Rattus norvegicus: one gene and its partner. The protein of the gene in region 2 interacts with the protein of the main gene of each other region in a pairwise test. Links are inferred from orthologs where the notes say so. Each region holds a gene or a part of one and is shown on either strand. Other genes may lie near its edges.

What was found. The genes of interacting proteins can lie anywhere in the genome.
Region 1: the proteins of Mapk14 (region 2) and Dusp1 interact in binary tests that used the Homo sapiens proteins (3 or more experiments, as listed by UniProt). The link is inferred for Rattus norvegicus from reciprocal best matches to the Homo sapiens genes MAPK14 and DUSP1.

Annotation. Positions count from the first base shown.
Region 1 is NC_086028.1:17,183,492-17,187,656, reverse strand, and holds Dusp1 (dual specificity protein phosphatase 1), read right to left. Parts: upstream 2,805-4,165; 5' UTR 2,654-2,804; coding exon 2,287-2,653; intron 2,063-2,286; coding exon 1,917-2,062; intron 1,544-1,916; coding exon 1,324-1,543; intron 1,064-1,323; coding exon 693-1,063; 3' UTR 11-692; downstream 1-10. UniProt on the Homo sapiens protein: Dual specificity phosphatase that dephosphorylates MAP kinase MAPK1/ERK2 on both 'Thr-183' and 'Tyr-185', regulating its activity during the meiotic cell cycle.
Region 2 is NC_086038.1:6,775,355-6,778,860, forward strand, and holds part of Mapk14 (mitogen-activated protein kinase 14), read left to right. Parts: intron 1-1,067; coding exon 1,068-1,197; intron 1,198-3,437; coding exon 3,438-3,496; intron 3,497-3,506. UniProt on the Homo sapiens protein: Serine/threonine kinase which acts as an essential component of the MAP kinase signal transduction pathway.

The DNA of each region.
Region 1 (4,165 bases), on a different chromosome or scaffold from region 2:
CACCGAGAACTCAATAGAAATGTCATAATTTATTCTGCTGTATAAAAAAAAAGTCATCCTAGTAACAAAATGTCTTCTCAGAAGAAGAAATATATTACTTCAGATCATAAATAAACAAACATACAACTGTTGATAGCTAAAAGCTACAAACAAACCAACACTGGCTTCGTCCATCAGTGCTGAAAGCCTGCTCTGGGTCTATTTACAAGATAGTACAGTACGCAAACACAAAAAGTGAGGTATTTCGTTCTTCTATGAGTAGACAATGACATTTGTGAGGGCAGACCACCCACCCACACAAAAATAAATAAGGTAAAACTCTCAAACGTGTATGTCATCGGGAATGGTTAATACTGGTAGGTATGTCAAGCACGAAGTTTCTAGAAAAAACAGGCAAGGGAAGAAACTGGCTCAAACAGAGTCCTTTCCCTTCTGCCCTGTTTTGTCAGAGGGGCTCGATGTACCCACAATATATTGGTCCCGAACGGGCTGAGTTCAGCAAATGTCTTGCGGTCAAGTCATTGTTATGACTGCTTGGGAACTCAGTGGAACTCGGGAGGTGTTTGGGGGGGGGGGTGTTAAATAAATAAGGACCAGCTCACATGAGCCTCTCCCAGAGTTATTGCATTGCTCCTCCCATGGGAGGAGTGTCGTCCCGGTGGCACGTGAAACTCCACACCTCCCCTGGCCCTTCAGCAGCTCGGAGAGGTTGTGATGGGGCTTTGAAGGTAGTTCAGGGCACTGTTCGTGGGGTGAACAGGGATGGAGACAGGGAAGTTGAAGACCGTTGTAGTAGAGGTGCCCCGGTCAAGGACAGCCATGGCCGGGCTCCCAGCTTCTGCAGAACAGTGAGGGGCCAGTACTTGGGACTCAAATTGCAGCAGCTGGCCCATGAAGCTGAAGTTGGGGGAGATAATACTCCGCCTCTGCTTCACGAACTCAAAGGCCTCGTCCAGCTTCACTCGGTTAGTCCTCATGAGGTAAGCAAGGCAGATGGTGGCTGACCTGGAGATGCCGGCCTGGCAGTGCACAAACACCCTTCCTCCAGCATCCTTGATGGAGTCTGAAAAACAAAGTTATGGCTTACTCAAAAACTCAGGAGGACAGCCGAGCCCTGATCAAAGACGCCCTCATGCTATCATAGGGACTGTGCATATGCTGTGCAAAGGATAGCAAGGGATTTAAACCCAGATTGGGTGTCTGCACGTATAATCCTGGACAAGACAGTCAGTCCAACTATTCAAGTCTCAGTGAGGAGGAAGGTTGGGCTCAGCAGCTACAGTAGAGAAGAACGCAGAGATCCCAGACATCTATCCCACTTACCTATAAAGTCAATCGCCTCGTTGAACCAGGAGCTAATGTCTGCCTTGTGGTTGTCCTCCACAGGGATGCTCTTGTACTGGTAGTGACCCTCAAAGTGGTTAGGACAATTGGCCGAGACGTTGATCAAAGCAGTGATACCCAAGGCGTCGAGCATATCTTTCCGGGAAGCATGGTAAGCACTGCCCAGGTACAGGAAGGACAGGATCTCCACTGGGCCCCCCTGAAATCCAAAACAATCCAGCGTTCATCAAGCTTGTTCGGCGTGAACACGCCAGGACCCACGCCCACAAAAACTCCCGACTGAAAAAGGGAGTTTCTGAAAAGCGGTGACCTCAGTACTGCTGTTGACATATGAAAATAATAGTAAAGAATCGAGCCGGTTGGCCGGGACAGAGCCAACAAGCTCTTCCGTGCCAGCAACTGGGAGAATTCAGCTCCATCCAATTGCTTCATGGTGAAATGAAGATCCTCGTGTCCCCGCTAGTATAAATAAAGCTACAGCCGCTTTCTCTATTCTCCCTGGCACAAGCTTCCCAGAGCTCTGCCAGTTCTGCCACCTCCCAGCCTCTCGTAGACCCCGGACTCCTACTAACCTGGTCGTAGAGAGGGGTGCTACAGGAGCTGCATCCGGATTCTGCACTGTCAGGCACACTAGTACTCAGCGGGAGGCTGAGCCCCATGGGGGTGGACTGTTTGCTGCACAGCTCAGGGCAGGAAGCCGAAAACGCTTCATATCCTCCTGAGAATACAAAGGTACATATTTTCCCATTAACGCCGCCGCCGACGCAGTACCTGGAGACAAGTCACCCACCCACCAGGGGCTGCGAGTTTACAAGGAAGGTTTAGGAAGTCTTTGTTCCCGGAGTCAAACAAAGCCAGTGACAAGCCCCTGGACACAGGCGCTCTCACACTCCAGGTGGGACGCCCCCCTTCCTTAGCTGATGGCAGAAGTCCTGCGCGTACCTTGGAGGAAGAAGACTTGAGTGGAGCGCGCTTCTCGGCAGAGCGCGCCCGCGGCCAGGGCCAGGGTGCCGTCGCGCTTGGCGCCGTCCAGGGCGGCGCTGCGTTCGTCCAGCAGCACTACGGCGTGATAGGCTCCGGCCAGCAGGCGGCCGCGCAGTTCGGTGTTCGGCACGATATGCTCCAGGCCCATGGCGCCCTTGGCGCGGCGCCGCACGATGGTGCTGAAGCGCACGTTCACTGAGCCCACGATGTGGCCGGCGTTGAAGGCGAAGAAGGAGCGACAATCCAGAAGCAGGCACTGAGCGGCGCGCTCTCGCAGCAGCGCGCGCAGCCCCCCGGCGTCCAGGATGCCCACCTCCATCACCATGGCCAGCACCAGCGACCCCAGCGTGCCCGTTCTGCAGCTCTCCAGAAATAGTCTGTCGATCTTGTGCGGTTTTTTGTGGCCCTAAATCCTCAAGTGCTCGCTGATCCTAATCTGGCTTCACCGCGCGTCCCGCCCGCCAGTCCTTTGCTGCGCGCTGGTTCGGAGGAGCGCGGTTTTATGTGGCCTCTTGGGGGCGGTCCCGGGCGCGGCACAGGAGGAGGGGGGGAACGGTTTGTTTGTTTGAATGGCGGACACGTGACCGGGTGGTGACGTCACCCGCCCTGCCGGGCTTGGCGCCACCAAAGCCAAAAGCAAAGACGTCATCGGCCTGGGAGCGGGTCGGCTTTGAGCGCTGGCTCCGGGCCGGGCCCCCACCCTCCTGCCCTCCGAGCTCGCAGGCAGGACGGCGCGCTGCCAGCCGGGGTGGCCAGAAGGCTCGGCCTGAGGACGCGCCCGGGGACACCTGCCCTGCTCCCCTGCCCGGGTCTCTAACGAGCGCGCGGCCACTCCTGGGATCACGGTCTCAGTTGGCCCCGCTCTGGCTGCTGGGGTGGTGGGCGCGGGAGCAGAGCGGGAAAGGGAAGTGGATAGTGAGAGATGACCAACTCGGTCTATAACCCTCTGGCTATACTGAGGACAAACAGCGAGAGTCCAGACGTCCTTCTTGAATCTCACTTTAAAAGTTTTACGCTGACAAAGGAGTGTCTCCAGTTAGCTCCCCCCACAACCCCCACACCGAAGTGTTATCTTAACTACGATGGTCCCTAGAGGACTTACTTGGAGCAAAGGGAGGAGGGTTGCAAATTCGGGTGTGGAGCCCAGGTTTGACATTTTCGGGGAGGGGGGGGGGGGGGACTTGGATAGAGCTCCACAGCGCCGCCCAAGGACCGTCAAGCACGTTGTCGTCGCGAGGCATCAGAAGATGCTGCCAGCCACTGCTCCTCTGCCCCCAACACAACTTTCTTTTGTTTTGTTTGAGAGAGGTCTTGCTGTTTAGCCCTGGCTGGCCTTGAACTCACAGAGACCCTCCTGTCCCCGCCTCACTAATGCCTAGCTCTTCAACTCTACTGAACAGAAGCTGAGCACACCAATGACTCAGGACTGAGAGCTTTGAATCCTCCACTCTGTGGAACAAACTGTACCCATCACACCTGGGAAGACCCCAACGATGTCTGTGTCCTTCCCCAAAACTCCATGACTACGGGGTAGGCCGTGAGCCTGCTGCCAACACCACCGAGTTGGATACACAAACATAAACATTGCACCACTCCGCAGGGGTGCCGAGTCAGGAACATTCTGCGGTTTCTTCCTCTTTGCAAGGGGAGGTGTTTTACTGGCCACCATGTGTCTTTGCCCAGCAACGTCCGCTTTGGCCTCTCTTAGCACTTGCGTTCTGCCTAGATTCTTCTGGAAATTCGGGACACGTTATTTTTAAAGGGCGTTTTTACATCCCTTTGAGCAACGATCCTAAAAGAAATCTTCAGATAACACTGCCCTCCCTACCTCTCAGAA
Region 2 (3,506 bases):
GGAGAGGTCAGGACACAGGACGCTGGATATGCCCTCCAGTCGGATGATGTAGTTGCCAGGAATGTGGTCAGAAGTTGGGGGTGGAGGGGTACGTTGTGAGAGGGACGGACTTTCGGAGGGTAATGGGAATTCTAGTCAGCGGGTAATTGCAGCAGAGCTGAGGGTTCTTCAGGATTGCTGGCCAGGGCTTTGGGAAACAAAGGGAACGTGGTGGTCATGTGTGCCACAGCAAAGTGACTGTGTGAGAGCACCCTTGAGGACAGCACTGTGAGAGAAGTGTCTGGTATAAGTTACTGCCACTGTGGGAGAACAAGGCTCAGAAAGGAGGCTGGCAACTCCCGAGAGGTCATCACAGATCAAACCGATGGTTCCGAGGCGAAAGGAAGACTCTGAGTAGGGACAGACTGGGCCGGGAGAATTCCGCTCTAGCCACTGGGGTGCGGCACTGGCATCAAGTTGATGCTCATCCCACTTGGGTTTATTCAGTGGTCACCGTGTGCATCACTGTTGTGAGTTTTCGTTCTCCTGTCACTTCCCCACATCCAAGAGCTTCCTACTGTGTGTGCCTCCATCTCTGGGCACTTGGGAGGGCTCCTTCTCCTAGGAGTAATGTAATTTCTGGAGCCTTCACTAGGATCAGCATATAGTCTCAAGGTGACAGGCCTGGGCCACAGACTTCATACAGAGGTTCCTGGACAGGCTGCCACCTGAACACAGCCACACCCATCTTATGAGCTCCCATTATCAGCCTGCTTTCAGGCAACAACTACACGCCGTGGAGCTGTGTCGGGGACCTTACCTGGGCTTTGGAGAATCTAAAATGTTACTGTGTGGAAAATACTTTCCAACTGCTGATACAGACAATAGAGGCAAAAAGAAACATCTTGAATAAATAGGAGCCTCCCTGGGTGGTGGGTAATAAGTCATTATAGTCTTTATCTTGGTTTCTGTTTTTCTTTTTGTGTCTTGCCACAAATTTAATTTGAAAATGAAAAGGCCTGGAAAGTATTAGAAATAGTATTCGGAGCTCGTTTAACGGTGGGCTTTTGCTCTTCCTCCTTAATTAGTGCTGCTTTTGATACAAAGACGGGACATCGTGTGGCAGTGAAGAAGCTGTCGAGACCGTTTCAGTCCATCATTCACGCCAAAAGGACCTACAGGGAGCTGCGGCTGCTGAAGCACATGAAGCACGAGAATGTGAGTTCCTCCTCTCTGCGCAGAGCAAGGCCTTGTGTGCAGTGCTGCCGGGACACAGCACACTGTAGGGTTGGGTTTGCGTTGCACGAGGGTTCTGTGCCGTGGGGCTGTAAGGTCATAGTAAGGTTGATGGAGCCTCTTCCCAGACTTGTACTCTACTCCACGAGCTTAAGGAGAGTTTAGTTTCCTATTCTTATTTAGTGTCAGTGCATGTGTTTGCCTGCTGGAGTTTACGTGCACCGTGGGGTGCAGTACCTTGGAGACCAGGAGATGGCAGAGACCTGGACCTGGAATCGCAGGTGCTTGAGGCCCACTGGGTGCTGAGAACCAAACCTGGCTGCTCTGCAACAGTAGCCCCTGCTCCTCCCTGCTGAGCCGTCTCCACCCAGTGCTTCCTTTTACGGATCTCTTCATTGGTGCTTCTGTGCATGTGCACATGTGAGGTTATGGATATAAAAAGGCAGCTTGTGGGAATTGGCCCTCAATTATAACTTCAGTTCTAGGGGATCTGTTGCCCTCTTCTGGTCTCAGTGAGTACTGTGTACGCGTGATAACACCCACATAACATTCAGGCAAAACATAAAATGAAAGATTAAAAAACAACGTTTGGGGGGTTGGGGATTTAGCTCAGTGGTAGAGCGCTTGCCTAGGAAGCGCAAGGCTCTGGGTTCGGTCCCCAGCCCCGAAAAAAAGAAAAAAGAAAAAAAAAAAAAAGAAAAGAAAAATGATAATAAAATGTGGAAACGGGAAGAAAAAAAAAAAAACAACGTTTGGGCTGTAGAGATTGCTCAACGGTTAGAGCACTGACTGCTCTCCCAGAGGTCCTGAGTTCAATTCCCAGCAACCACACAGTGGCTCACAACCATCTATAATGGGATCTTCCGGTGTGTCTGAAGACAGCTACAGTGTACTTATATATAATAAATAAATAAATCAAAAAACCCCAAAAACATTTGAAGATGAATTTTTTTAAATTTCTAACTATGTCTACATGCTTGTGTACATGTGGACAGGGTATCACACATGTGGGCAGTGCCGTGGAAGACAGAAGAGGGTGTCAGATCATCTGGATTTGGATCCGGAGTTGCAGGTGCTTGTGAGGCCCCTGATGGGATGCTGAGAGCTGAACTTTGGGCCCTGGACGAATGATTGAGTCATCTCCCCCATCTCGAAAGATGAGGCTCTGTTCATGTTTGTTGTTGCATCTGCAGGCTGCTTACCATCATTCTTATATTAAGATGTTCAGGTTCTAGCAGTTGGGAGCCCCCCATATTAGCGTTTGGTGTGTTTTGTTTTGTTTTTCTAGGCACAGGGTTTCTCTGTGCAGCCCTAGCTGTCCTGGACCCTCTGTAGACCAGGCTGCCCTCAAACTCAGATCCATCTCCCTCTGCCTCTCTAGTGTTCGGATTAAAGGTGTGCGCCCCGAAACTGGCTGTGCTTTGTGTTGTTTGTTTGTTTGAGAGAGACTGGGTCTCTCTCTGTAGCTCTGTCTGGGTTGGAATTACTGAGCCACTCTCCAGCCCTGTTGCTTTGTATTTTTGAACAAAGCAGGCACGGGGGGGGGGGGGGTGGGGGTGGGGGTGGGAAAGACCAGAATACTTAATGTAGAAATTATCTCACCTCTCAGTCTATCAATTTTATGCAGTGAAAAATGAAGACTTGGGGCTGGAGAGATGTCTCAGTGACTGAGGATTTGCTGCTCTTGTAGAGGACCCAAGATTAGTTCCCAGCATCTAGGTTGGGTGACTCACAACCTGCCTGTAATTCCAGCTTCAGGGGTTTACCCTCCCTCCGGCATCCAGGGACACAGGCACAGGAGAGGGCGAGGGTGGGGAGAGACAGACAGACACAAAATAAAGATCACATAAGGAAGGAGTCCTAATTCTTTTTTCGCTGTCTGACACACTAGTGGCCATGTGAACGAATTCTAAGTTGCAGGGTTTCCCTGGCACTGTGTGGAGTGATAGGTCAGGCGTGTGGCGCATGTCTGTGGGCATTTGGGAGGTGGCAGCAGGAAGATCCGGAGTCCAAGCCTGGGCCATATGAACTCCTCTCTGCAAACCCCCAACCCCCAGAAAGAATGATGTTAGCACATGTGTACCAGAAACACAGTCTGGGTAGGAAGCTAGCACACTGGCATACGGCCGTGGCTGCACTTGGATCGCTCTACCTGAAACTCTACAGAGGCACTGCAGCAAGACTGTTGCTTTCCGACTGTTTGATTTTATTTGTTCTTGCAGGTGATTGGTCTGTTGGATGTGTTTACACCTGCAAGGTCCCTGGAGGAATTCAACGATGTGTGAGTGATT